4 linked regions of the Mytilus edulis genome follow. The protein of the gene in region 2 binds, or shares a complex with, the protein of the main gene of each other region. Links are inferred from orthologs where the notes say so. Each region holds a gene or a part of one and is shown on either strand. Other genes may lie near its edges. The genes, in order: pre-mRNA-splicing factor ATP-dependent RNA helicase DHX16-like, armadillo repeat-containing protein 7-like, small nuclear ribonucleoprotein G-like and probable small nuclear ribonucleoprotein Sm D1.

Evidence for each region.
Region 1: armadillo repeat-containing protein 7-like (region 2) and pre-mRNA-splicing factor ATP-dependent RNA helicase DHX16-like share a complex: the UniProt entries of both Homo sapiens proteins name them as parts of the minor spliceosome. The link is inferred for Mytilus edulis from reciprocal best matches to the Homo sapiens genes ARMC7 and DHX16.
Region 3: armadillo repeat-containing protein 7-like (region 2) and small nuclear ribonucleoprotein G-like share a complex: the UniProt entries of both Homo sapiens proteins name them as parts of the minor spliceosome. The link is inferred for Mytilus edulis from reciprocal best matches to the Homo sapiens genes ARMC7 and SNRPG.
Region 4: armadillo repeat-containing protein 7-like (region 2) and probable small nuclear ribonucleoprotein Sm D1 share a complex: the UniProt entries of both Homo sapiens proteins name them as parts of the minor spliceosome. The link is inferred for Mytilus edulis from reciprocal best matches to the Homo sapiens genes ARMC7 and SNRPD1.

Annotation. Positions count from the first base shown.
Region 1 is NC_092345.1:3,144,580-3,151,811, forward strand, and holds the start of pre-mRNA-splicing factor ATP-dependent RNA helicase DHX16-like, read left to right. Parts: upstream 1-4,212; 5' UTR 4,213-4,345; coding exon 4,346-4,543; intron 4,544-6,008; coding exon 6,009-6,143; intron 6,144-6,602; coding exon 6,603-6,682; intron 6,683-7,232. UniProt on the Homo sapiens protein: Required for pre-mRNA splicing as a component of the spliceosome. Contributes to pre-mRNA splicing after spliceosome formation and prior to the first transesterification reaction.
Region 2 is NC_092344.1:113,819,629-113,826,555, forward strand, and holds the start of armadillo repeat-containing protein 7-like, read left to right. Parts: upstream 1-3,911; 5' UTR 3,912-3,989; exon of another isoform or gene 3,990-4,005; intron 4,006-4,017; exon of another isoform or gene 4,018-4,051; intron 4,052-6,927. Other genes in the region: 5'-AMP-activated protein kinase catalytic subunit alpha-2-like, read right to left, coding at 1-26, 2,438-2,579, 3,600-3,696. UniProt on the Homo sapiens protein: As a component of the minor spliceosome, involved in the splicing of U12-type introns in pre-mRNAs.
Region 3 is NC_092347.1:25,799,527-25,807,321, reverse strand, and holds the start of small nuclear ribonucleoprotein G-like, read left to right. Parts: upstream 1-4,789; 5' UTR 4,790-4,907; coding exon 4,908-4,939; intron 4,940-7,492; coding exon 7,493-7,515; intron 7,516-7,795. Other genes in the region: nuclear transcription factor Y subunit alpha-like, read right to left, coding at 1-113. UniProt on the Homo sapiens protein: Plays a role in pre-mRNA splicing as a core component of the spliceosomal U1, U2, U4 and U5 small nuclear ribonucleoproteins (snRNPs), the building blocks of the spliceosome.
Region 4 is NC_092348.1:3,032,590-3,040,332, forward strand, and holds the start of probable small nuclear ribonucleoprotein Sm D1, read left to right. Parts: upstream 1-4,739; 5' UTR 4,740-4,861; coding exon 4,862-4,875; intron 4,876-6,066; coding exon 6,067-6,143; intron 6,144-6,653; coding exon 6,654-6,854; intron 6,855-7,463; coding exon 7,464-7,567; 3' UTR 7,568-7,743. UniProt on the Homo sapiens protein: Plays a role in pre-mRNA splicing as a core component of the spliceosomal U1, U2, U4 and U5 small nuclear ribonucleoproteins (snRNPs), the building blocks of the spliceosome.

The sequences.
Region 1 (7,232 bases), on a different chromosome or scaffold from region 2:
TTTAAAAGTAAATGAATTTTAAGCATAAGGTAATGAAAATAAAAAACTATAACATGAACATAAAAAAAAAAAATTTGAGATTTTTTTTTCTTTCTTTAATTTCATACATAAAAAATGGTCATTTGAAAAATGAAATTAGGTGCCAGGAGATAGCGAGAATGCAGGATTTTTCTCTAAATATATATATGCCAGAGCTTCTGGCTTGAGCGGCCCCAGACCCCCTGCCGTAAGGCACCAAGCTTACAGCTTGGTGGGCGTCCGGCTTCGCCGGACACATGTTACAGCCGCCTATAATTTTAATTGAGCCTTCTACTTACTTCAATTTCAAGATAGCCCTGCTTGAATGAAATTACAATTATATGCTCACCACTGGGCTTCCATACTGATTGTTCTTCTTGTGTTATTTTTAGAATGAACTTTTTCCACGAAAATAGGTGACGTACATGTACTTGGCATCATATGCCAATTTGTGTACACTAGAAATGTAGGTCATATCAAATAAACTAGCTAACGGAAAGAATCAAACTAATTTATTATTTTAATGAAGTTCTAAGGTAACATTATCAACAAAAAGTTTAACCGCATTTTGTTTGAATAGTTTAACCGCATTTTGTTTGAATAGCCTTATGTCCACGAATATAGGTGACACTAGGCCTACCGTCAGTAAATATTTCAAAGCAATTTTCTGTAATTGTCATGAGGAAAACAAAGGATTTCAATGTTGTGATGTCGTAAGAGACAAAATAAATTAGCCTTTCAAGACGTCAAAAAAATTTTTAAAGGCCGAATTTTAAACTGCGGAAAAGGGGGACACATTTATCCTACTGACAAGTACTGAAGTAGACTTTGTCGCTCTGTTGAGTGATGACCGAGGAATTGTTTAAAAATTCAACTTATATTTTACAAAAATTCACACTCACAGCAAGTTATTCATTGGTCATTTCAAGGATGACAACATTCACTGTAGACTAATTTCTATTTTCAATATATATACTAACCAGTCACCATGCGCGAGCTCTTTTCACAATTTAAGGAATGTCTGACTACCAACTGAAATGTTGTAAAAAATATTGTACACTTTCTTTCGGCGAATTTATATTTAAGGAAAAAAAATGTGTTTGAATATAACTATAGTCTCATTTAGGTTTAAATGGCATATTACATTTAATCAAATCCAAATTATTTTAATTTCTGAATGTTGGAAAAATAAATCAAACCCACCTTAAAATTCGGTACCTCGAATTACCGAATAACAGTGTTATTATCCGAATAACTCATGTAATTACCGAATAACTCTTCAAATATCAATATTAACACATTTGAGTGACTTTTAAGCATATATTATTGAATAAAATTATAATAGAAGTGTATTTTATAACCTAAAAATAAAAAAAAAGTTGCAGGTAAGTTAATATTGATCATTATAAAATTATGGATATCGGTGTGTACTTCCAAGATGGCGACCAAGGAAAACGTAAGAAATGAAGAAAAGAAAGATTGCATATATGCCTTCAAAGGAAAACGCTATGAAAATATAGTATTAAATAATTTACTGTATATACAGAGAATTGTCTAATAATTGTTTTTCAGAAAGGATTTGAAAATTTAACCAGTACATCAAAGCAATGCAGTTACTCCAATCACTAATTACTTTTCATAACAATTTACTCAACATTAAATAAAATGTAATTAAGAATTTTCACATATTCAATTCAAATCTAATAAAAAAAATTATTATAATTGATTGTTTTAATAAAAACAAAGCTTCTGAATGGATGATTTTTATGTTTATTCTAATAAAATTTTCTCAAAACTAAATATAAGATTTTCATTGGCAAATATAAATGTTTTTACAAGTCACTTTAATTTTGTATAAAAAGCCATGAATACATGTGTGCTGTCTTCCATTTTCAAAATGGCTTTATATCCGTGTGTTCAATGTGATGAAGAATGTGTTGATTGCACCATTCAATGCAGTTGTTGTGATCGTTGGGTTCACAGTGCTTGTGTCCCAATGGATGATGCATTGTTATTGGCCTGGTCAGATGTGTCTCTAAAGTTCCTTTGTAAGGACTGTTGCTTTACAGACAACAAGTATGACATGGCCAAGGCGTTAGAAAGGTAAGTAATTTTCATACATACCTTTTATTATAAGCTATACAAATGCGAAATTGGGTTTTTTATATTATTAATAGAGAGTGAAACATGGTACAAGAAAAATAAAATAAAATATTTAATTTCAAAGAAGACAACCTTTCACCTAGTTTATTATATTTCATTTATTTCTTATTTCATTTAAAATGTATTTAATTTACTTAATTTAAATTACTAAAAAATCAGAATTAAAAATAATAAAATAATACTCAATTAATATTCTTCTAAAATTAGTATTTACGTTTTTTTTATTGCTACTTTTATTTATTTTCATACATTGAATAATTTGAAAGTGATAATGAGTTAATTAGTTCCAATAAACAAAATAATCATTACCTCACACTTCTGTTAGATTGTTAATTGGGTTGTTGTTTACTGACACGTGCCCATTACATAATTAATCATTAAGAGATAATGAAATTATATTACAGTATGGACACTCTGCATTAAACAGGCTTGTGACTGTCTTGGTATACCAAGGCTGCATTACCAACACCAATAATTATAATAATGAAAAATAGAACACAAATAAATATTTACAACTATATACAATATGTACATCCTATGTTAGTTTTCTGTCAAAGGGTAATAATGTTCAATGTTTCACCAATAATTTTTGATTATTTAAAATAAAAAATTATTAAAAAAAGATATTTTAATAAAGTTAATTTGGGTTTTCCTGTTAAAAAAAGCTTTCTTCTGGCAAATTCGAATTTGTAAATTATAAAATATGTAAGAACTTTTGGATTATTTTAGTCATTCGATGTTAAAAAAAACCCTCTTCTTAAACAAAATACATTGCACGTGGAGTCATTGAGAAAATAGTTCAGTATTGTTTCGCATGTTTTCAGGTTGAAATTCTAAATAAAGTATTTCCGCGGACTATGACAGATAAGCCCGTGCCTTGTGCAGGATATCTTAGTAGTTATAAATTTTTTACAATAAATTCTAAATAAAGTATTTCCGCGGACTATGACAGATAAGCCCGTGCCTTGTGCAGGATATCTTAGTAGTTATAAATTTTTTACAATAAATTCTAAATAAAGTATTTCCGCGGACTATGACAGATAAGCCCGTGCCTTGTGCAGGATATCTTAGTAGTTATAAATTTTTTACAATAAATTCTAAATAAAGTATTTCCGCGGACTATGACAGATAAGCCCGTGCCTTGTGCAGGATATCTTAGTAGTTATAAATTTTTTACAATAAATTCTAAATAAATTATTTCCGCGGACTATGACAGATAAGCCCGTGCCTTGTGCAGGATATCTTAGTAGTTATAAATTTTTTACAATAAATTCTAAATAAAGTATTTCCGCGGACTATGACAGATAAGCCCGTGCCTTGTGCAGGATATCTTAGTAGTTATAATTTTTTTACAATAAATTCTAAATAAATTATTTCCGCGGACTATGACAGATAAGCCCGTGCCTTGTGCAGGATATCTTAGTAGTTATAATTTTTTTACAATTAATTCTAAATAAAGTATTTCCGCGGACTATGACAGATAAGCCCGTGCTTTGTGCAGGATATCTTAATAGTTGTAATTTTATAGATTTAAAGGCTTAGTTAACATCCATTTCTAAATCACAAATATAAAAATATGATAAAGATAATATTTTTTTAATAACTAAAATTAAAACAAAAACTAATTTAAATAGTTTACTATTCCATATTTTATTTTAAAAAATGCCCACCCTCACATTGTTCATTGCCGTGACGTGGCGTGAGGGCTCCACTTTGGTGGTCTAAGATGAACACGTTGAGGGATTGTATGCAATCTTTCTTTTCTTCATTTCTTACGTTTTCCTTGGTCGCCATCTTGGAAGTACACACCGATATCCATAATTTTATAATGATCAATATTAACTTACCTGCAACTTTTTTTTTATTTTTAGGTTATAAAATACACTTCTATTATAATTTTATTCAATAATATATGTTTAAAAGTCACTTAAATGTGTTAATATTGATATTTGAAGAGTTATTCGGTAATTACATGAGTTATTCGGATAATAACACTGTTATTCGGTAATTCGTGTTACCCCCTTAAAATTTGCAGTTACGTCCCTTGTCATGCACAAAACGTCACGAAAACGTGTGGAATCGTTTTCAATATGTCAGCCTCCAGTACAAACAAATAAAGTTCATGATTTCTCATAATATTCATCGAAGACATTCGTAGTTAGCAATGTCATCCCTTGATACATGGGTCAGCGACAAACTGCATGACATCTTAGGAATATCGGACAAATACATCTCACAATATTTGATTGGTTTGTGTAAAAAAGCAACAAGCTCAGATGGATTCATTGATAACCTCAGAGAAACTGAAGCAGTTGACATTAATCCACAAGTTATCCAATTTGCGAAGGAGTTATGGGAAAGGGTAACTTAAATAGTCTTGTAGATAGAATTATTCCAAGGCTTTGTTGGACACCTATAGCATAGGTTTCATTCGAATGTACTTTTTTTTAAAATGCCCCTCTGCGATGCTTTCGAGACAAGACAGCCCCACAGTGACACTTCCATGAATCATGACGTCCATAGGATGCATCGACCATAAAGCAAAACCTACAAATAACACATTGTCCATACTTTTTAGTTTAACTGTAGAGCATGATTCTACAGACTCTAATCTGTAACGGGTTTGCCCCAAATGTTGCCACACACCACAGATTTTCAGGGCTCAAGTCCAGGAGGAGACTATGTGACTTTGCCAACAAAATCATGTTCTCCTGGGTTATAATTGGTGCCCAATTAAAGAATCCCTCTGTCAACATATATTTGTTCCGCCTAGCAGAAGTTCCAATGGAAACTTTGTTATAAACATTGTCATAATATCTATTCCTGTTGGAACAAAGATTCTAAACAATTTATTCCGTTAGGAACATATACTGTGATTTTTATTCTTGTGGAAATAATATTCCAGAATATTTTTTCCTTTTGGAACTTATATTATGCAGGAACTTCTATTCCGTGACACCACAGTAGTTAGATAGAATATTTAGCTAGTATATTTTGTTATAAGAGTCATAATGATATGATGACTCCTGAGGTTTAGAAAGCGTGATTGGACAGCTTCCCTTAATACATATGGCAGATACACTGTAGCTAGTTGCTATAAATAATTCACATTTATATATTATATGCTATATATATATATATAATGTGTATTCTAAGTGAATTGCATATAAAAAACATAACAAATAATGTAAATACAGCATATATAATTTACCATCTACTTGTATATATCACAATACTTTTTAGAATTTAAATAAAATTTATTTGCGAAAAAAAGCTATTGATGGTGTGTCTTATCAAAGTATGGCTCTGTTGTCTTTTCATGGTATGGCTGACACAGCATGGATGTCATGTCTTGCATTGTTGACTCCTTTATCCCAGGACGTTGTTGACCTTATCTTCAAGTATAAATTGAATTTTATTATTGAATAGCGTTTAGTTTTATATATTCAAACAAACAAACAAATAAATATTTTGATTGATATTATTATTCACATATAGGTATTTATGAAGTTTTTGCTGATTAATGATAATCTGAAACAATAATGTGTTTGGATATAAAAAAGATTAATCTTTCACCTGTTTTTTTTTTTAAATGCAATTGCCATTGACATGATTAATGCTGAAATATTATTCTCCAACAGGTCAAGACTTTGTAATATATTACACAAAAAACATGTATCTATTCAAAAATCCTTAAAAAAAACCCAAATACTATGTAGTCTGTGTGTTATTGCTTGGAGTACTATTGTGTATTTAATATATGTAGATATGTTCTACAAAATGTCCAAAGGCGAAAAAAAGGATAAGTTCTTAATCAATATTTTCAGGCACCAAGAAAAGCTGTAACAGAAAAAGTAGGAAGAGTTTTAGAAAGGCAATCATTAGAGCTACAAAAGAAGAACCAGAGTTATAAACTTGTATCGTCTGGAAGTGAGGAGGATGAATATTCTGTCCAGCCAAAGGTAGACAACTCTATCCTAAAAATATATATAGAAAAGGGTGGTGTACATTAAGATTTGAATTAGTTTACAGAATCATGAATACTGTGGATTCATTTATTTTCGTGGGTACCTATTTTCATTGATTAAGAAAAAAATGTATAATTGTGGATATTTAATTTCGTGGTTTTGCCAACGTCTGCATACAAGCCAACAGAAAATTTGTCATTCGTTGAACATTTGATTTCGTGGTTCACCTGTACCAATGAAATCCATGAAAACTTGTATCCAATGAATAATAATGAATCCACAGTAAAAACATTTGGGCAAGCTATGAGACAGCAACTAAACAAACACAAACCAAATGAAATCGACTAGATGTCAACATATGTTTGTTTACAGGTGTAAATACAATATGTTATAATTTTATTACTTTTCAAGCTGAAGTTTGAGCAATGCTAGAAACACATTAATTTCTTTCAGAGACGGAAGGCAGAAAAAAGACAGAAGCATTTACGTAAGAAGCAGGAATCTTCAGATGAAAGTGATGCAAATCCAGATAGGTAGGAGTCTAGTCAAACCAAAAAATTACACTTCCATTCCTAAATGCAAATTTTTAAGCTGATACAGAAAACTAAAAAACAAACATGTACAATTTGTATAAACATTACAAATCAACAGTATACACTTTTTTTCTGGCTATGGGTATGAGAACAATAAACTTGCTATTAACTTGTAAATAAGTGTTTTATTATGCAGACAATTTTTTAGCACATAAATGATGCTTTTATTGCTGTTCTGTCATTTGGAAAAAGCTATAAAGTTCTCAAACAACAAATCCCCCTCTCGAATCAATCTGCCTTTAAATTGAAGAAAAATGTAAGATATTTCAAGCAGCAACTAAACACAAATACATATACAAGCCTTCAATAATTAGCAGAAACCATGCCCAGTCCTTCAACAGAAAACTATTTTTTGTAAAATTTTTGTAATTTTTTTTAATGGGGTTATTATTACCTTCAAGATGGTTTTAATAACATTAGGAAGGCTGCGTAAATGTCTTTTTGTGTCATTTGTTTCAAAAATCAAAGTTAAAAGCTGTTTTGAGTTTGT
Region 2 (6,927 bases):
CTGTAGGGGTACTCATCACTTGATACCTGAGGTTTTATTACGCAACAAAAATTAACCATCAAATTAAATACAACCAAAATTGGAGTCAAATCAGTATTTTTCTAATTTGACAAGAAAGTGTTTGAATAAAAAAATTTATCTACAAGTTTTAAATGAAAACTTTCCTGAATAAAATTAAGATTTAACATAAGAAGAAAGGCATGTAAAAGGATTTTAAGTCGACTTGAAAAACATAGTACACAAATACATGTATGTAAAAAAGTGTCTATTTCATATATATCATGTATATCTACATGTATAATTAACATGAATAAAATTGATACATATAAAACTTACATTTATTAACTAAATTTCTTATTATTCTCTCTGTAAATTAAAGTCTAAGACTCTATGGTCTCATAAAATACAACACAAAACAATTCAAGCGATTCCATCAAAGTAAGATTGTCTCAATGTCAAAGGCATCTAGGTAAAATTAATATTTAATTGGACTATCATATACATGTAGACAGGATAAGACAACTGATATACAAATGTCTAATTTTTAAATGGTCCCACTTTTGAAATTTTTCTCTGTATTTGCTTTAAACTAGCTAACTAAGTTGAATGATATCACCAAATATTTTGACCGAATAAATCCATGTACATGTATCAACTATCAAGTCATGTTTTTTTTATGATTGTTGCTCTTAATAGAAATTAAACAGAGATTTCAGAAATATATCTATAAATAGGTATTTGGAAGGCATCCCAAAATGGCAATAAGATTATCCCACATACCGGACTATTTCTTCCCACAAAATTTTGACATTTTACCATGATCATCATCAAAATTCAAAATACTTTACATGTACTTGGCTAAACAATTCATTACATCAACAAAGACTGGACTAAAATATTTGTTTTATATTCTAGGCAAACATGAATCAGACCAAAAATAGATATACCTTTTAATTCTAAAATATTTTTTTCTTAAATAATGTAACCAGATGACCTTGACACTTGAGCTTTGATTGATATCAAATAAGGTTGAAAAACAGAGCCAAAGTTTGGTGAAGACAGGAAAAGGAGAATCTACACTACTCACAATCATTCCAATGAAGTTACTTATAGATTGTTATTTGGATTTTTTTCAGGTATTTTGTACAGAGATGAGTTAACTGTAAGCATGGTAAGATATTCTCAATAATTAAAACAAGATGGCTGACAGGAACAGTGATCATATCTAAAAATAATATATATTTTTTTGTAACATATTTCAAAATGCAAAAAATGTACTGAAATTCAGTGAAACAATATAGATCAACAAAGCAAATAAAATGGACATTAAGTCTTTTCAAATTAAAGAACAGAGAAGTGGAGTTAGTTTGAAGAGATAAAATTGAATCAAGAGACTAACCATACACAGTAAAGGAAACATTACAATGTTGACATCAGCAATCATATAAAATTATGCTATTTCAAACAACTTTTTTCTATATCTAAGGTAAGAATGGATCACTATTAAGAATCCTGACCAACTTTAATGCTCTAAATTCTGCTTCCAGTTAAAAAAAAATCTTATTCATCTACTACATGTACATATATGTAACATATTTGGTGAAATAAACTCCACCTACTATCTTAGAAATGTGTAAATAAAATATAATATTGTCATCATAATTGATAATTACAATGTATATATATATATATATGTAAGTAGTCAAGACAATTTTGTAATTTATGGATCCAAAATGTGCAAACTTTCAAATCTTGCAACAAAATCAAATTAATATAATATCCTTTTTCAGAGAAGACAGATTTGAATCATCCAAGTCAGAGTGGATTCTATTAAGTGAATGGATTTCTATAAACATGATAAAAGAGGAAACAAGAAATATAGATAACTAAAGTACATGTATGTATCACATACATACAAAACATGTATATACACATGAACAAGAAATGGAGATAACTAAAGTATGAAACAAATGTATATACACTTAAACAAGATTTATTACATTGGTTATAGAGAAGTATAATCATTTTAATCAAGTAAAAATTGACTTTTGACATGTCACCAATAGGTGTTTTCTGGACATTGTTAAAGACTTTGCATCAAAACAAATTAAAAGGCATAGAAAAAGATATAATTGTTCTAAATATAAGAATTTGTAAACTGAATTTACATTAAAAGCCAATACAATAAAAAAGAAATAATAATCCAAGAATTCACAAATATCCTTAAACATTTAACTCTTGATGACCAATCAACACTGAATTTTGTGAATTTATGTTTTGTTCGAATTCTGATACTTTTCTAATATTTTTGACATTCAAATTCTCAGATTACCGGTATACATGTATATACATATACATGTATAAAAATTACAATGAATATATTCTAAAATTAAAAGTTAATTTAAGAATATAATATCATACAATGTTGGAGACTTACAATTTAATAATGTGTGGATGTCTAAACAGCTTGAGGTTTTGTATTTCTCTTTTGATCTTAGACACAACATCTAAACTTTTTATTTTGTTTCTGTTTAAAATCTTTACAGCCACCTTATGACTGGTGATATAATGTGTCGCAACTGAAAAGAAAACAAAGCATACTATCATGTGTGGTACAATGTATGAGGTATAAATTACAATGTCAATGAATGCGAAGCAACTGAAATCGACTCATTTTGTTACATGTACATTCATTGTTGTCAATATAATCACAATTGTATTTTTAATGTCATACAAGTGAGAGGTTTGGCTAGTTATACAACCAGATTTAATCTACCATTCATGTACATATGGAAATGGCTTTACCAAGTCCAGAATGTAACAGTTATGTTCTATTTGTTTGATGTGGTTAAGCTTTTGAATTTGCCATTAAATAAAGGACTTAGGTTCCTTTGTTTTTGAAACACTTGACACTTACAGGAATTTGTCTAAATGACTGGTTTTTTTCCAGACCAGACTAAATAGCCATAAGGTGTGTTAGATGACCAGTAAGGATTTGGCTGAGTAATGAAGTTGAAGTTAAGTGACTGTCAGACACAGCTGCAGTTAAGTCCAAACCATTATGACATCTTGAACATGTTGAAAGGCTTTTTTAAATTTGTGCTTTATCTTCAGGTAAGGGAGCTACCATTTGATTTTTAGGGGGGAGGGGGAGGAGCTAGGTCACGTAGGTGGAAAAATTCTTGTCCTGCTTTTATTTATTTATTTCTAGTTATTATAATCTCTGTCCTACATGTACCTTTTCATATTTCACATTAAGCCTTTCCTCAATGAATTTCTTTTTTGCATAATTTTTTCAATAAAAAAAAAATCATAGACTTAGTCCCCATTCACAGGTAATTCCTGCCTCATATTAGGGAAGAAGTGAGGATGCCCCAAAACGCACTAATGGCTTTCACAAATATCAACTTTTTAAAAGATGTGAAACAAACTAAGAATAACTCGTAGGTTAATTATCATTTAGACAAGGTTCCAGTTATTTTTAATAGGAATTCTGTGTATACAAATTATGTCAATGACCTTCACCTTCTGTATGCCATATTTATAACATTGGTTGACCTTTTTTTATGGCAATGTCTGTAATAAACAAAAACACATACTTTTGACCTTTCCAAATGTCCCAGTTCCTAGTGTTTCACCAAGAATGTAGTGGCCAATCTTCACCTGACCAGCAGTGGCTGGACTTTTCTCCGCCATTGCAGTTTTTGTGTGAAGCTGTTTGACTGTTTCCTCCGTCGACTGAAGTGTTTACTTGCAGATGGTGCTACTTAAGTTGTAGAGGAATTCTTATATATCTGTTCATAAGATCAACATCCAACGTTTCATTATCAGCTCGATTTAATTTCCTATCAGTCTTGTAAGGCTCGTCTTGTTGGGTCCTTTCAGTTTGTCAACAATATGTCACGTGATTTGTAAAACTTTCGGAAGTCTCTGGACTTTACGTAAACTCAGATTTCCAATGTTTATTTCCGGTTAAATAGAAAGTAAAAGTAAGACTATATTCATCTGAAAAAGGCAAATTTCAACAAAATCTTTTACATTGTAACAAACTGTTGGTTAAATTTTTTACAAAAGCTTTATTGAATTCGGTTATTGAAATAGTGGATACCACATCTCCTTATTTTCATTATTTGTTATGAGGCAGGCATTCTGTAATCTGTATAATAAATTCTGCCACTGCCAGTCAAGGCACACCTCCAATTATAGCTGGAGTGACATCCACCACCACGAATATATATATAATTATCGGTCGTCCCACTGTCAATATCACTCTGTTCAGCTCATAATATTATTCCGTATCATGTCTTTGTGACGTCAAATACGTTGACTCGGCCTTAATAACTTTGACCCGGACATATCAGCGACGTCATAATGTTTGAACCGACATTAATAACTTTGACCCGAACTTATCAAGTCATCTTTTGTGTGCTGGTGAAACAAAGAAAACACTTCCGAAACACGCAAATATAGCCCGATAAATCGATTATCAGATTATCTGCATATTTATATTGTAAAATATCAGCTGCTTGACATTATATGAAGGCTACGCTCACTCGACAAAAAGCTTCATATTATGTCTCGCAGCTGATATTTTACGATATCAACATGCAGATAACCTGATAATCGGTACATATCACACAAATAATGGTTCCATCCACTGGAATATTATATACACAAATATCAATTTATACTATACGCAATAGGCAATTTTAAAATCTAAAATTATCTAAATAAGAAGTGATAATAATTAATTTTACCTTAATCCAAATAATTATGACGTCTGGCAAGGCTAGGAAGGCGTCCCAGAAAAAAATTAAAATAGCCTTGCTAGACGTATGAAGGCGTCCCAGAAAAAAATTTAAATAGCATTGCCAGACGTCATGTAACACGAGGACGAAGTCCACTATTACAGTAGAAAATTCAATAGAAAAAAAAAAGAAAAAAAAAATCGGGAAAATTTCCCGAATTTTTCATTGTACTAATGAACTCAAAATCGTTCAATTTTTTTTTGTCGCGTTTTTTAATTTCCGGATTTGCGCAGAACACATAACTCTACTTCCTTTTTCCGGTCTTGTTGTCGTGAGACTTTGATTAGTCTAGTAAAATATAGGAACTCAATGAACACAATACCAATATTTCATTTTTAATCATTCTTTGTCTTTCAAATTGGTATGAATAAACGTTACCTGATGCATTGCATTTCTTTGTTTACATTGAACATGACGTCATAACTTAAATAACGTCACAAGTAAAATCCCTAACAACAGAACCAAAATCGGAAACGTTACGGTATTTCCGTTTCTTTTTGTAACAAATATTTAAGTTACAAAAAAATTAATTTAAACAAACTTCGTCCCCATTCACAGGTAATGCCTGCCTCATATTAATTATGACGTTAAAATAGCCTTGCCAGACATCATAATTATTTTGACTAGCATTACCTGTAAATGGGGACGAAGTCTGTATTCATGTTTTTTAAATCAAACATGTTAAAAAGAGAAACAGAAATACTGCAACGTTTCCGATTTTGGTTCTGTTGTTAGGGATTTTAGTTGTGATGTTATTTAAGTTATGATGTCATATTCAATGTAAACAAAGAAACGCTGTCATCAGATAACGTTCTTTTTTATAAAAAAACAATTTTTAGAAATGAATTAGTATTGAGTTCCTTTCTTAGACTGATAAATATACATTTTATTCAAAGTCTCATGCAAACAAGACCAGAAACGGAAGTAGATTTCTGCGCAGATCCGCAAAGGAGTAGGGGCAATAAGGCCCTTATTTGGCCCAAAATTTACTGCAAATTTAAAAGTTATCATACATATTTTTAAATTACTGAAAAGTATCTCAGGTAGAAGGAATTCAGAAAAACAAAATAGTTTTGGACATTGAACAAGTTATCATGGCAACAAGTCATGCCTTAATTTGCATATTTTGTAAAATTTTGTGATTTTCCTTGTTTTTCATCAAATTTTTAAGTATATTTTCGATTGGAAAAGTATGTGCGCACCCAAGAAACAACTTTATATTTGGTGAGATTTTGTCAATAGTAATAAAGCTTCAGTTAAATTATTTTGTTGTTTCTTGGCTGCGCACAATGTTTCCACAACAGAAATAAAGATGAAAAACTGCATAAATTCTGAATTTTCATCATTTTTGTGAAAACAGTACATATTATGACGTAATTGTGACGTCATCACATAAGAATCTTAATGTTTTTCATTTATGTTTCTTGACCCTATGCAATTCTAAAGATTATGTGCCAATTTGAAAAAGTTATCAAAAATTTTATTTTCTTGGGCCAAAACCAGGCCTTAATGCCCCTACTCCTTCAAAAACGCGACAACAAAAATTTTGAACGATTTTGAGTTCTTTGTGCAATGAAAAATTTGCGATTTTTTTTTTTTTTTTTTTTTTTTTTTAATTTTCTACTGAAATAGGGGACTATGTCCCCATATCACAGAGTTTCACTATCACTATCAGGCATGTGCTATCTGCTATAGATCTGTCAGATCAGCTTCTAGTCTACTCCAAATAATAATGACATCTTGCAATTCTATTTTATTTTTTTCTTGGACGCCTTCCTTTAAAAAGCCTTGCAAGACGTTATAATTATTTGGACTACTTTTAGTTTAAAAGTTTATGAAGTCTTGAAATGTGTTGCAACCATGTTTTGCATATTTGTTTTTTGTTCAATTTTTACATAAATTAGGCTGTTATTTTTATTGTTTGAATTATTTTACATTGTAATTTCGGGGCATTTTATAGCTGACTATGCGGTATGGGCTTTGCTCATAGTTGAAGGCCGTTAGGTGACCTGTAGTTGTTAATTTCTGTGTTGGGCTCTTGTGGAGAGTTGTCTAATTGGCAATCATACCACATCTTCTTTTTTATATTGAAAGTCTATTTTATTTTTTTGCTTTTATT
Region 3 (7,795 bases), on a different chromosome or scaffold from region 2:
TCTTGTGTAATGTATTGAATTCCTGCTTGTTGTTGGTCATCAGGCATGGCTACTGTTACCGTCTGTTGGTTATCTGTATTAAATACTGTGTAAGTTTGGTCACCTTCTGTCATCTGAAAGAATGACAAGCAGAATCTGTAACTTCAACATGTTCAAGTTGTATGTAAACAGTATGGCATGAAAAATTCTGAAGTTCAAAAGTCTGAGTAAAATCTTTTAATATTTCATATTTGATAGCTTAACCATTTGGTCAATACACTTCTTACGGTAATCAGAGACCTATAAAGCTACATACATGTTTTAACATATCAGGAATTAGGCATTGCTTACAATGTCAGCTTATATTATCAGTTATGTTTTTTTCCAGAGAAAATAACTCTTATTATCAAAGATATTTTAACCAATCCATTTTGAAGAAAATCAATAATAATCTTAAATAAATAAATTATGCAGAATGTGCCCCTGCTTGCATATAATGTTATAAAGGGACATAACTCAAGAACTGTAAAAGTGATAATACCCAAATTTGTACTTGATTTGAGTTTTGTGATAATAAGCATTGTGTTTACATTTTATAACAATTAATTAAGGTAAACCTAAGTTAGAAAACAAAAACAAAAAATCCTGCAATTTTTCCATTTGCAAAAGAAGCAGAACAGGAGAACGATAAAAGTGACGCCTCCAAATTTCAAACTTGATCTGTGTTTTGTGGTAATTATCATTGTGCAAAGTATTATAATATTTGTTTGAGGCAAACTAAAGTTAGAGAATGGAAACGATAAATTTAGCAATTTTTCCATTTAGTATACATCATAATAAAACAATGAAAATAACAACAAATATAGTGATGCCCATATGTTGTTTATTTTTGGAGGCATAATGTATGCAACATTATTCAAAATAAAATATCTATAGCCCAAAATTCCATCTTTCATATTCAGATGAAATCCTTTCAGAAATACAATGAAATATGAAGCAACAAATTATCATCCTGTCCAGTAACTCAAGATAAATCCCCTTTAATATTTGGTCAAAAACTTTCCCTGGGGTAAGACTGGGGATAACACATCAACAACATTACTAGCAAAGCCAGCAGAAGCCATGATTTCCTCCACAAAACCTACAAATCGGCTATAACCATCAAAGAGCAAGCATTCAAAACTCTAGTAACGCCCCAACTAGAATACACCACAACCATATTGGACCCATATCATCAAAATCATATTGACCAAATTGAAAAAGTTCAAATGAGGGCTGCAAGATACGTCACCAAGCACCACAGAAACAGATCAAGTGTCCCAGACATGATGAACAAATTGGGTTGGAAAAGTCTGAGCCTCCAAGATTGACGCAGAGAGGTCAGGCTCGCAATGATGTACAAGATCGTCAACGACAAAGTAGCCATCAGCAAAGACATGTACCTCCAAAGACAAACTAGAATATCAAAACGTACACAACAGAAACTACATGGATACATGGTGCAACGAACCAACGACTGCAGGAAATGGTCCCTCTGTGTGAACACCACAAAAGACTGGAACAAGCTTCCCCCGGAGATCGACACAGCACAGTCATTTGAGACTTTCAAATCTGAAATGACCTACCTATCTTGTTTTTAACCATGCAGAACCAATTTGCCAGTATATTCTGAAAGTTGAATGCAGGCAGTATGTGGAAGAAGACAATATTGTGTAGGATTAGTGAAATACTGAATGTTTGGTTAAAACTACTGTTTTGAAAAATCGAAAAGTTCAAGTCCTGTTTTGGTCTCAATATGGAAAAGAACGGATATGGGTTTATAAATACCCTTAATGACACGAAGACATCACATATTGATCATTAAATGTTACACAAAATTAAATCTAGAGCTGACGACACCAACTTCAATAGAGCAGGAACTTCCCACTTACAGACAGCCATCTCTGGATGGTCTCAAACAAAACAAGAACAACTGAACCCAAAAGCATGTGGCAAAATGTTCAAATATCTTATTTAAAACTAAAAGGTTTAACCAAGAACATATATGTCCCTGGTTTAATAACACACCAATGACTTGAATGGATCCTTTAAATATAAAAACAACTTGCGTCCTCTATGTTGGAAAAATCGACCTGCGACCTGTACTTTTGTCTTAAAAACGACTGCGCGACCTAACGACGAATTTAAAAGTGACCTTGCGACCTGAGGGGGGTACCCTGTGGGAGCCTCCAGTACAGTCAAATCAGCACCTAGTCAATTTGGCACCTGGTTAAATCAGCACCTGATATAGTCATTTCGGCACCCATGAAAGATATGTTTAACATATGTTTTGTTCAGTATTTTAAGCAAAAAGTTGTATTCACAGTATTGACTCATTGACATTTTTGGAGGGTTTCTGTATGTATTTTTTTTGTTCAACTTAATTAGTATTCAAAGTTTTCAACATTTGAGCATTTTGCATGATATTTGGTAAAATGCATCGACAGTATACTGTTATTTAATAATCAATGTTTAAAAGTCACCAATATTTGCTAATATTAAATTTCAAGTGTTATTCAGTCATTATTAGTGTTATTCAGTCATTCGAGGTACCGGTGCTGATTCGACTTGTAGTGAAGTTGGAATCCGGGTCCGTTCGCGCCCACTCATGTTCACCCCCTTTCACTTTCGCACCCTACATGTTCGCGCCCAATTTTAATTGGTTTTGTGTAGCTTTGTAATCAAGTTTTGGCAAGTGTATTCTTATATTTGTTGTCATTGTCTCAAAATAAAGTGAGACAGCATTTTTTTTTTGTGTTGAATATATCTATCATGTTTTGGATAGTGTATTGTTAAAAATAATAAATAATCCTTTCTAAATAAAGTGGGATTCTGTCAACGTTTTATTTTGTGTTGAATAACTCTTAATCATGTTTTGGTTAGTGTATTGCCATAACTTTATTTCATTGACTTGTTTCAAAATAAAGTGAGATTCTGACTACGATTTTTTTTTGTGTGTTGAAATTTTTTTATCATGTTATGGTTATAAAAGTGTATTGCTATATTTTATTGTTTAAGATCGAAGGGACCAAGCTGTTAAAAACAATTATCTTTTGTGTTTTTCATTTAAAATCTTGAATGTTTTACTTACACCAAAGCAATTAATAACAACAATCATGATTTTCCAATTATTCTACTGGAATTTGAATTATAATTGGGCGCGAACGTGTAAAGTGCGAACGAACCTTGGGTGCGAACATGCGAGGTGCGAACGTGTAGGGTGCGAAAGTGTATTGGGCGCGAACGAACCTGATACCGTGAAGTTGTACCCTTTTTCATGGATTCTACCCACTGATATTTATTTGGCTTTTGGCATAGGATCAAAGGAAGCAGGACAAATCGCCCCCTGGCAAAACGCCCCACTTTTTCACCAACTCGCCCCACCATTAAAAAAATCAAAAAAATCGCCCCAACCTGGTTAACCAACTCGCCCCACTTTAAAAAAAAATCGCCTCACTTGTGAAAAGGGTTAAATCCAGTTAATTTTCCCCTGTCAACTCGCCCCACTTATTGAAAAAAGGGAAAAATCTACTTCTATATATGTAATTTTCAGGTCTACCAACTAGCCGCACTTAAATGAAGACTTATTTTGATTTTTGTAATCTACACAGAATACAAAAAAAAAAAACGAAATTTATTAAACTTTTTTAACATTTTTAAAATATAATTGCAATTACATTTTTGTATCATTATTGGAGAATAACTTTATACTTGTAAGCTTAGTTATTTGTATAACAATTGAAAAGAAACCTGTTAATTGTATCATAATCATACTATTGATGCGTGATTAACATTTATATATAACTTTATTGCAAAAACAGAGTTTTTAACAGCAATTTGATTTTATAGCACTTCACTTTGGTGTTTAAAGGTAATGACGTGGGCAGGGACAAAGATATACAACGGGATTGCATCTTTTTTATATGTGGTTTATCTATTTGTCATGAGTGGGGCTGAAAGTTGACAGACCGTATTTCAGCGGGATTTTAACCCTTTTCATAAGGGGAGCATGTTATCATAACTATTTGCAATGGGAGTTTACCCTTTTCATAAGTGGGGCGAGTTGGTAAACAAGAGTGGGGCGTTTTTTTAGAAAGTGGGGCGAGTTTGTGAAAAAGTGGGGCGATTAGGTGTGGGGCTATTTGCCAGTGGGGCGATTTGTCATGGATTCGGACCAAAAGAGCTAACTATGATCTGCTGGATATTTTTATAATGACGTCTACGACATAAAAAAGGATTTGTGCCCTTATACGACTGGAAACTGTTGATGCAAAAAATAAAAGAAACCACTATAACAAATAAAACAGCATCCAAAAACGTCATAAGTCATTGTAGTTGAAGTTATTGTGTATGGCAACTCATTTTCAAATTAATGTCTATGCAATCCGGTGCATAACACAATAAAGGAAACTTTTGTATTGCTCACTTTTTTTGCTTTGATGTAATTTTCTACGCAAAAATTGTATATTTTGGATTTTTCTTCAAAATTTCCTTGTCCAATGGCGCTGATTTATTGTGCATCAAATTTCATGACGTAGTCAATTAATGTGGATTGTGATAAAACATGTATTTTTTTCCGCAAAAAGACAAGTTTAAAAACAAAATCTAAATGTATTGAAAAGAATATTAGTCACAGAAAAGGGTACGCAATAAGGCATAAAGGTTGTTATATCTCCCTGATTCAGACTACTTTGTAGTAATTTTCAAATGGACTATAAATCCTTAATTTTCAGCATGTGAAAAGAGAGAATCCGGAAATTCTTAAATATAGTATTGCCGGTATCGACTCTGTGTTTTATCGTTCGACTGTCGTTTCCGGAACGCTTTTTCCGCCATTATCTATTTTTGTTGTTTGCCGGCTCTGCCGACAATAATCCTTGTTAATCACAATGAGTAAGGCTCATCCTCCAGAATTGAAAAAGTAAGTCACGACTGAAATTATTTGTATGTGTTTCCAGGACATTTAAAGACCCAAATTACAAGACATTTCGTGATTTGTGCCTCTATAATTTTCAAAAGAAATTATTTGCCTTCTTTCACTTCTTCTTCTTCTTCTTTCAGTACAGAGTCGGACTCTTCTTGAGTGTATAAATGACTCTTGCTCGTGAAATCATGAGGCCTTCCCTCCTCACTTAATAAAAACTATTTACAGGAAAATTATTTACAAATAAAACTATGTACATCTGGGGTCAAAGGAGATCTAGGTGTGTGAAGCTCCTGTCAAGGCCTCTGGCAGGATGGTAAGGCTGGCCTTGAACTCTTCTAGTGTAGCTGCTGTTGTGGCTTTTTCCGGTAGAGTGTTCCATTCCCTGGTTGATCTTGGGAAGAAGGAGTACCTGTATTGGTCTTTTAGAGTGCGCTGTTGGTGTATGCGGTGGCCTCCTCTGGTCCTTGAATCTCCGGGTTTGTAATAATTAGAGGGGTCAATATCCACCAATCTATTGCGGATCTTGTATGCCATGGTGAGTCGGTCTTTGCAGCGGCGATCTTTAAGGATCTTTTAGGATACTATACTCATAGGGTTATATACTAGTGCATTTATTCATGTCACTTACACAGCCTTATTTATAATAAGACCCTTAAACTTTACAGATTGGGTAAAAGTCGTGAAAAGGGAGGTTATATTTTTTTGTTTTTATGGCAGTTTTCTGGTGTTGATAAAAGTTTAAATTTTTAACCTAGTTTTATTATTGTTTCCAGGGACTTCCCTTTTCTATTTCAATTAAGACATTAAATTTACAAAAGAACACGTTTGAAATGCATCAGTAGTATCTAAATAAGTGAAGCCTCGTTTAAACTTTTTTCTAAAACTAAATAACACAAATCCGCACATATATAGTCCAATGTATATAAGTATGAGAGACTACATGTAAATTTTATCTATTACATGCCTACATGGCCAAAGTGGTACAACTACAAGACCGCACTGGCTTCATTGCAGAAACATCTTGTAAAAAAACCCAGACAAATCTTAACTTGAAAACATGACGTAATGATAAACAAGAAAAGATAACTCTAATAATATCCTCGATCTCCTATGTTGGAAGAGAGGACCGCCTACACAAAAAGGAAAACACATGTTGGTTTGGTTATCTTATTTCTAAAAGAGGGATGAAAGATACCAAAGGGACAGTCAAACTCATAAATCTAAAACAAACTGACAACGCCATGGCTAAAAATGGAAAAAAAACCCAGAAAAACAATAGTACACATGACAACATAGAAAACTAAAGAATAAACAATACAAACCCCACCAAAAACTAGGGGTGATCTCAGGTGTTCTGGAAGGGTAAGCAGATCCTGCTCCACATGTGGCACCCGTCGTGTTGCTTATGTGATTACAAATCCAGAAAATAGTCTAATTCGGTAGGTCACATTCATGAAAGGGAAGGGGATTGTAGTTACGACATAAGGAACATATCTGATATCATTTGTGAAATGGTTATTCCATACCGGTCAACCAACTTGTGATGGTGTCCGTAAAATTTATGAAGGGATGATTTCAACTTCACCATTTGGAACTCTTGGTTTAATAGCTTCCTTGTGAGCAGTAACCCTCTCAAGAAAATCATGATAGGAAATGCAAGCTTGGGAATATCGTATCAATTGGGAGGTATATACCCCGTATGCAGGTGCTGCTGGAATGTTGCTACTTAGAAATGGAAAGTTCACAATTGGAAAGCTGAAATCATCTCTTTTGTCGTAAAGTTTTGTTTTCAACCGACCCTCATTGTCAATTTCTAGATGTAAGTCAAGATATGAAGCCGACTTCATTCACTTATTTCTAAGTGAGAATCAAGTGTTACAACAATAATTCTAACAATATGGGAAGGATTATTATTATGTTGTACTAAATTTCAATTAAATGTCTTTCATTCTAAAAGTCATTAAAACAAAATAAAATACAAAAAAACAAACCAACGTGTTTAACTATAAGCAGTCAGAGCTCAGACATAAATAATCATATTAAAATGCATTTTTGACTCACTGTAAGTCGGGGGGGATAAAAATGACTTGTTTATGTCTGAGCTCTGAGTGATGAGAGTTATCTTTTCTTGTTTTGTGTGACATCACAAGAAGATTCAATCTGGGCAATGGCTGAACATTATACATGTAGGTGGAAAATGAATACAAATGGAAATAATCTATGCCAATATGGTATGCACTACCAAAATAGTTTAAAAAAACCATAAGGACCTAAGAGCTACGGTTCCACAGCTAGGGTTAACTGTGAATTAAACTATGCACCAAAATAAATTGGTTTTGAGCATTCTTGGTCTGTTTGTCACCCTCTGAGACTTGCTGATGAATTGGTATCCAAAATACAGATGGTCCAATTTTAAGCTGCTCGGTATGAAACAAGTCTTGAATGAAAACAGTTTATCAGTCATATTTTTGATGATGTTTGCAAATACCTTTGTACACAGAATTTAAACTTGTAAATGTATAATTATATGATGTTCCTTTATTTCAGGTTCATGGAAAAGAGAGTTTGCTGTAAGTAGCCAACAAGATTTATGACTTAAAAATTTGATGCTTGCATACAATTGTTTATAACTACCTCTAGCTATAAATCAAGGTTTATTGGCCATTGTAACATGTCTGTAATCTCCAGGGTTCTCAAAAACTCTGGTTTTATGAGTATTGCTAATCTCTGTATCATGCATTCCGTCAGAGACCAGATTTTTATTTCTGACTCCCAACTTTTACTGTGCATTTATATACCTAACCTACTGAATGTACATTGACATACATCAGTAGTTAACTGATCATGAAG
Region 4 (7,743 bases), on a different chromosome or scaffold from region 2:
CATGACATGTGGCAATGAGACGTACGCTTTTAGAATTTTGGAATTATCTACTGTAACCATGGTTGCAGCACAAATGTTCAAAATTTCCAAAAAAAATTAAGTGCTGCAAACTGGATGAAACTTTACAGGAATAGTGACTGACATGTGCGGAGTTCCATTTTGAAGTTGAAATTTCCAAAATGGCCGCCGTAACCATGGAAACAGCAAAAATATCAAAATTTTCAAAATGCTTCAAACTTAATGAAATTTTGCAAAAATGATGACTTGCATGTGTAGATGCACTCTTTGACTTTGAAATTTTCAAAATGGCTGCCGCTCGCCTGGCAATAGGGGGACGAGGGTGCCATCCGTTATTGCTAGCAATTACAAATCTAGTTATTATTATTATTCCATCTATTTTGTCCGGCAGTTTTCTCGGAGCAAATGGAACCAATCTTAATGATAGTTAACTATAATGAGGAACACAAAATTCCAGGTTGCAGTAGGTCTTAAGACCATAAAAATGGCTGCCGTTACCATGGAAACGGAACAATTGTGAAACTGAAATTCCAGTTTTTGGTTTTAATGAATTATTTGGAGTTGCTTTAACTTAGAATCAATATATTTTGATACAATGTAGGTGTCGGGCATATACTGGTTTTAGATGATTTTGGCAATCATTGGAACTATCATGTTGCCATGGAAACTACACCAAAAATTTCCAAAATATCAAAATGCTCCAAATTTAATAAAACTCCACAGTAACGATGAGCGACATTGGAAGATGTGCAATTTGGCGTTGGAATTTCAAAAATGTCTGCCGTTACCATGGAAACAAGTCAAAAATGGTGAAAATGCTTCAAAAACCTTAAAGTGGCATTTACTTTCTTAAAATGGTAGGTCAAATCCATTGAAACTTTGATGGTATATATATGTTCCCTCCCATGTACCAATGTGGTATTTGCCATTAGAAATTTGGAATGGTATCTGTTACCATAGAAACCAGCCAAAATGTCAAAATTTTCAAAAATTTCAAAATGCTCCAAAATTGATGAAACTTACTATATTTGTTGACTGTCAAGTCTACATGAGACTTTTGAAGTTGGAATTTCCAAAATGGCCACCGTTGCCATGGAAACTGCAGAAATGTCAAATATTTTCAAAATGCTCCAAACTTAATGAAACTTAATATTATTGTCAACTGGCATGTATAAATGAGACTTTTGACTTCGGAATTTTCAAAATGGCTGCCGTTGCCATGGAAACAGAAGAAATGTGAAACTTTTGACAATGCTCAAAATGTACTGAAAATTTACAGAAAGATATATCGCAATGCGTTGATCTGCATTCACTGTTAAATTGTTTTCAAATGGTTGCCGCTTAGTGGCAATAGGGGAAGGGTGACATCCGCTATTGCTTGCAATGGCAATTCTAGTTTTCTTTTCTTTTTATCAATAGCGTTTGTAGTTTATTTCAACTTATTAGGCTTTATTTGTGATGACTTTTAAACTACCAATACTAAAGTCAATCTAAAGTATCTGCAATTCTCAGAACTAAATGTAAAAGCCATACCAGTGCATGGAGAATTAAAGTTTACGTGATATTGAGGTACCTCTTGGTGACAGTACTACACGGAGCATTTCACGCATGTTATCATCATCCGGCAACTGAAATCCAACGATATTTTATAGATAATCAAATACCATGGGCCGCGTTCAATATCGTAGCTGCTACGTAGTATATTTTGATTATTGAATGTGTAGCTATAGACTAGCTGCTACATATATATTGATAGCATGCAGCTACATATATACGTAGCCGCTACGTAGCTGCTACGATATTGAACTCAACCCTGGCATATTACTTAGCAAGGAAAGATCATGTGAGCGCTGGCTAAATTCATTACTTAGCAGATGAACTCTTGTAATGATGAACACATGGGACTAGATTTAAAAGTTCGGCTTTTCCAAAGCTTTGTATATAGCCACGTCCCTGACAATCTCGTGTTTAATTAGCAAATGCGACTGTTAATTGCTGTCAAAAGATGAAAAGATATGAAGTGGGTAGTCAGCTTCCAATCTGAAAATACACTTTCTTTCTTAAAATAAGCAACATCGACAATTTAATCAGTAAAATATAGATCTCTGATTACGATTCTCATATGTAGTTTAACGTAATCAGATATCGATATTTTAATTAGATCGCAACTGCGAATTTTTAGAAGTACCTTAAATAAAAGTCGAGTTTTCCATTTATTCCTGCTATATGCTATAACTGCTCTCCTTAGGTAGTTGCATCATATAGATCATGTAAAGGCCAGGTAATTCCAAATAATAAATAAAGAACTGCGCCATTCATGTGCGCATGATGATACGTCGCCTGTCGGTAAATAGCTCTACAGAGCTCATGTTTACCTTGTTGAATTGTTTATATCATGCCCGACTCTAAATAAAATTTACTTACCCCCCCCCTTTTATAAAAGTTCTGGATCTGCCACTGTTACTTACGGTGTTTCAACGAATACAGTTCTATTTCTCCTCAATGTCATAAAAGAAATTTATAATAAAATAAAAAAAACATAAAGGGAGCATTTCTTGATAAATATAAACCAGTCACCAAAGTTTTATGAAAACTGTTCGAAGCTTTTTTCAGTTGTTGTCCGAAAACTGGAAAATCACCTTTTTTGCGAATAAAATCCCTTTACTTGGGAACATAAAATCTAAAATGATTAAAATCGAATGGAAGATTACGTCAATGGATATAAAGTTTCATGAAAATTGGTTATTTAAAGCGGTTTTGAGTTATTGACCCATATTCTGACTAAGAACTGACGGACATACGGACAACAGTATACCATTTTACGTCCTGCAAAAGAAGTTCAAAAGACAATAATAGCCTTCAGAAATATCTGGACGCCATGCAGCATTTGAATTCGACATGGTTGACACTGTTTACCCCGTTTAATGTGATGTATATATAGAGGTTCATATACACTTGCAGTCCATATTAATACACATATATATAATGTATAGGAATACATCATACATGAAGCAACATTCACATTTCAACAGCTATTAAGCCGGAGAAGTACCAATATACCAGGGGTATGTCTGCTATGTATCATTCCGCTCAGACTGGTACTAGGGACCGTTATAAACTTGCCGCATCAAGTTAACGATACAGCGGGAAGAACCTTAGTGCGATTGTTGTAACATTAAGAAGCCCTGTTAACAACTATTAGTGAAATAAATTTAAAGTATCTGAAGTTGAAAATAAAACAAAAAAAAACTTGCCGCAGTGAGGTGAGAGGGGTATATGATGCTTCTAGTTGAAGGCCTCGGTGTGACTTTGAGATGAAAACAGCAACAAGAGCGCTGTTTATTTGCTATACTGATTTTGTGTCATGGATGGATACCCCAAATCCTTTATTTTTTCTATTATTATATCATTATCTTATTCTGAACTAATAATGGACTATGATAGGATAAATAAATATCGCCATCAAATAGATCAATCCCTAACACTACATATTGCAAAACTTGTGACTTAATTAACCAAGACATGCATTGATACTAACAGGAAGAAAAGAAATTATTAAACAGTTGAACACATTGAACACCCAGACACGGATGTGAAAACACCTCTGTCACAAACAACAAAAGATACCAACGAAAGAACAGCACATATTTATATGATCTTAGATCATTTTAGGAGTTTTAGGAGATTTGATCTAGCAAGCCCAAATCCTGATACCTAAAAATTAAGGTACCGCGAGTTATCACTTAGCCTGAGAAACTAGGGCAGTGACTCATATTTTTTTCCCTTTCTTTTCTTTTCTTTTCTTTTCTTTTGTTCTCTTCTCTTTTGTTCTCTTTTCTTTTCTTGTCTTCTCTTTATGTATTACTGACACCAGTAGACTAAACTGAGAACGAGAACCACCATATAGACATCTAAGACAATGGAGTGAGTCCCCAATGGAAGAAATAATCTTTTTGTTATGGTAATTGTAGAATCAGGATTTGAAACAAAATAATACACATAAGACAATGACCGTTTTTTCTGTTTCTTTTTTGGAGTATTTTTTTGTATTCTTTTATTTTCTATTTGACAGTATTTCAAGGCTAACAATATTTTTTGTAAACTGTTCAGTTCAATTTGTCTCCACTAGTCTGGAATGTTATGACAGCTGATTCTATAATTTAAAGTACCAAGTTTCATGAATTGAAAATTTAAATAATGTTATCAAGAGGGGGGGGGGGGGGGGTTATCATGTAACCTTTTGATATTTATAAACCTGTTTTGGCCTTTTTCAAGGTGTTGTTTTAAAACTGTTATCTGAAATGAATTTAAACTGTTAACTGTTTTCAACCCACTGTGTTAATCAACATTTTTGAATTTGTTGTTTTGTTGTTAACTGTTTTTGCCAAAATTGAGATGTAGTTAACATGTTAACGGACCCCTTATTGTCCCCTTTCTTATATATGTCGCTGTTAAATTATGCCAAACACATTGGTCTCTGAATAGGCCAATTGTAAAATCATAAACTCCAATCGACTCCTTTAATGTGTGAGTGATGATTGATTAGTTCGTTATTATATATTTACATCAATCCTTACAATGGTAAGAGAAACAAGAAATGGATAGTAATTAATTCAATCTTGTCGGCTTTTTTAAAAAGCTAATATTTTGCCCAAAAGGGTAACAGGAAGGGAAAACCATTTAGTACCAGTCGCTAAAAACTTTCAGCAGGTCGTTGTTATGTTTTATCTCAAGACCAAAATAGGCACTCGGTCAAGCGTTTAGTTCATACGTAAACAAGACGAGCCGGTTGCCGCCATTATTAATATTTTTTCCTGTACATGGTATACAAATCCATGTAATCATGAAGCTTGTGAGGTAATAGCAATTCCAATAATTGGAATTTATATAGATGAATGAAGGGAAGGTGCAATAATATCGTTATTTTGTGGATTGTTGCAAACATTCATTAAGAAAACTCCAATTAAAATGACGAGTGCCCCACGCTAAGTCTTTATCAAATATATTGAACAATTTATATGGAATTCATCCCTCTGTGACATAGTTTCTGATATGACGGAACGCAGTATTTTCTGCACTGGAAGCCCTTTCCATTAGATGCATAAATTCACCTCTTCAGTCTAGAATGTTTGCATATTTTTAAACCTGTTTTCAGCTATGATACGAGAAAAATATATTTGACAGAGGCGCTTCTTCCCCCATTTTTGTTGCTTCAATCTTGTCTTGATTGACAAACAATTTACAAGTTAATTCAATGTACAAGATATATACATGTATCTGATTTTGAATCCTTTTCCTGATCCGGAGCCCTCCAAGCACAGGCACTCGTATATACCTTTATATAACACAAGTAGTCCGAGATTACTCTGACGTCCAACGGCTGTTTTGCCAGACAAGCTGGGGCCGTGGGACGTCAGAGCTCGTCCCATATCAAAAAGTGGATATTTTCCCACCCAAAATAGATGCGCTGCTTCGTCGCTTCTGGTGCTGACTGACGGCCTTGGAATTATATAAATCGGGCATCAATCTGTTCATTTTTCATTTATCTCTTCATTTATGTAAGTTTCACTTACCTGCCAACCTTTATTTTCTCATTATTAGACAGTTTTCACAGTGACCCATCGATTTCGGCATTTTGACATTTGGTAAACATGGTATAGGCAAATCAAATACTATTAAAACAAAACAAAGGGAATTGCATGTACTTTATCAAGAGCAAAAACGGGGGAGGTCTACATGTTTAGCTATGCATGATTCTGACATCCATCCTTTGAGTTTCTGGGAATAGAATTGAAGACGTATGTTCTGTATTTGCCTTGCAGACTTCATTGACTTTTTTATAATACAGGTTGGGGAAAATACTCATAAAATTGGTATTGGGTACCAACATATATTGACCAATGTTACTGGAATTAAATAAGCTGACATCAGGTACATACTGTTATATAAATTTGAAAAGCCAAACATGTAAAACATTTCGCAAAATAAAGTAGAGCTTTAATTTGTGAGATGATCATGAGTCTTGACAATTTTGATTTTGTTTTACAGATTTTTGATGAAATTGTCCCACGAGACAGTCACTATTGAACTAAAGAATGGAACACAGGTCCATGGAACAGTAACAGGTATTGTCTAATTGCAAAACTTCGATAAAAAATCCCTGCCTTGGATACTTTGCAACAGCACTGTACCTATTTTTTTTGCAGATGGAGACCATTATTCAGAGCAAGTTACAAATTGTACTGTATTTTGGTTAATGTTTTAGTCGGATATTGAGTTGTCAGATTTCACTAAAAAGATAACTGGTTATAAACCCATTTTGCATACTATGCTTTTAACTTTTATATGTCATTTATGGTATCTTATGTTTAAAATTGTGCTCTTTTAATGACTGTATGTGTGTACAAATGTATATATTTTGTTATTCACTGGATTTAAAACCTGAGACAGTAGAGCTTGTGTTTATATACTATTAGTTTATTGAATATCAAATACATATTATTTAATTTGGTCTTATTCATAATACGAACAATAGTCACATCGAATAAAGCTTATATAAAATTCCTTTATGACTAAAAAAACAATGCACAATTATATAAATGAATTTTAACATTGAAAGATGATTATATTTGTAGGGGTTGATGTCAGTATGAATACCCATTTGAAATCTGTAAAGATGACAGTTAAAAACAAAGACCCAGTACAGCTGGACACACTTAGTATCCGTGGTAACAATATCCGATATTACATCTTACCTGACAGTTTGCCACTTGACACATTATTGATTGACGACACACCTAAAGGACGTGGTGGATTTAGAGGTGGAAGGGATAGGGGTAAGTAATCAACATTTTATGTTTTTTAGGTCCATCACTTTCACCATTAAATAGGGAAAATGGTCAATAGACAGCAACTTACAAATTAATATCTCTGAAAGTCACAAATAAATAGTTGAAAATCGTACAAACACACAAAAAAACTCTTGTACTAGTTTCTTTTTATGAAATACATTAGTACTATTATTAATAATAACAGTGAGGTTGAAACACTTTTCAGACAGTGACAATTATTATTTATTAGTATGGTAGAAATCATACTAGCAGTTGTCATGGTGGTAAAAGTTTTGATATGGTTTGCAATTCCCACAAAGTTATTAAAATATACCTGTAAATAAAAAAAACGTTTGTTATCATCGAATTATAAAAAATTGAAATTGGGATTGTTATAATACATTATAAGGTTAATATAAAGAGTTTTCCAATAAGCGTCAAAACAGGATCATTGAAATTAGATAGAAGGTTAATTAATTTTGTGAAATCTACAATGTGGTTTGTGAACTTAATGCTTTTTCAATTGGCTCTCTTGATTATTTGCTACCTTGTTACAATATGGTTTTGAACATTGTAATGCTGTCACATTTGACTCAAATTATATTTTTATTTCAGGTGGCCGAGGAGGTAGAGGAGGACGTGGTGGTCGTGGCGGTAGAGGTGGTGGTGGTGGTGGAATGAGAGGTCGTGGACGAGGGCCACCAAGAGGAAGACGATAAACTCTTTTATGTGTAAAATCAAAGACAAAGTGAAAGTAGAAAGGAAATCTACAGCTATATATTGTTTTTTGACCAACAGCAAAAAATTATGTTGTAACTTTCTTTTATTCTTTTGTTATAATATTCCTGATAACATGCAGACATGAAGAAACACTATTCTTTTGTGAAATTTTTTC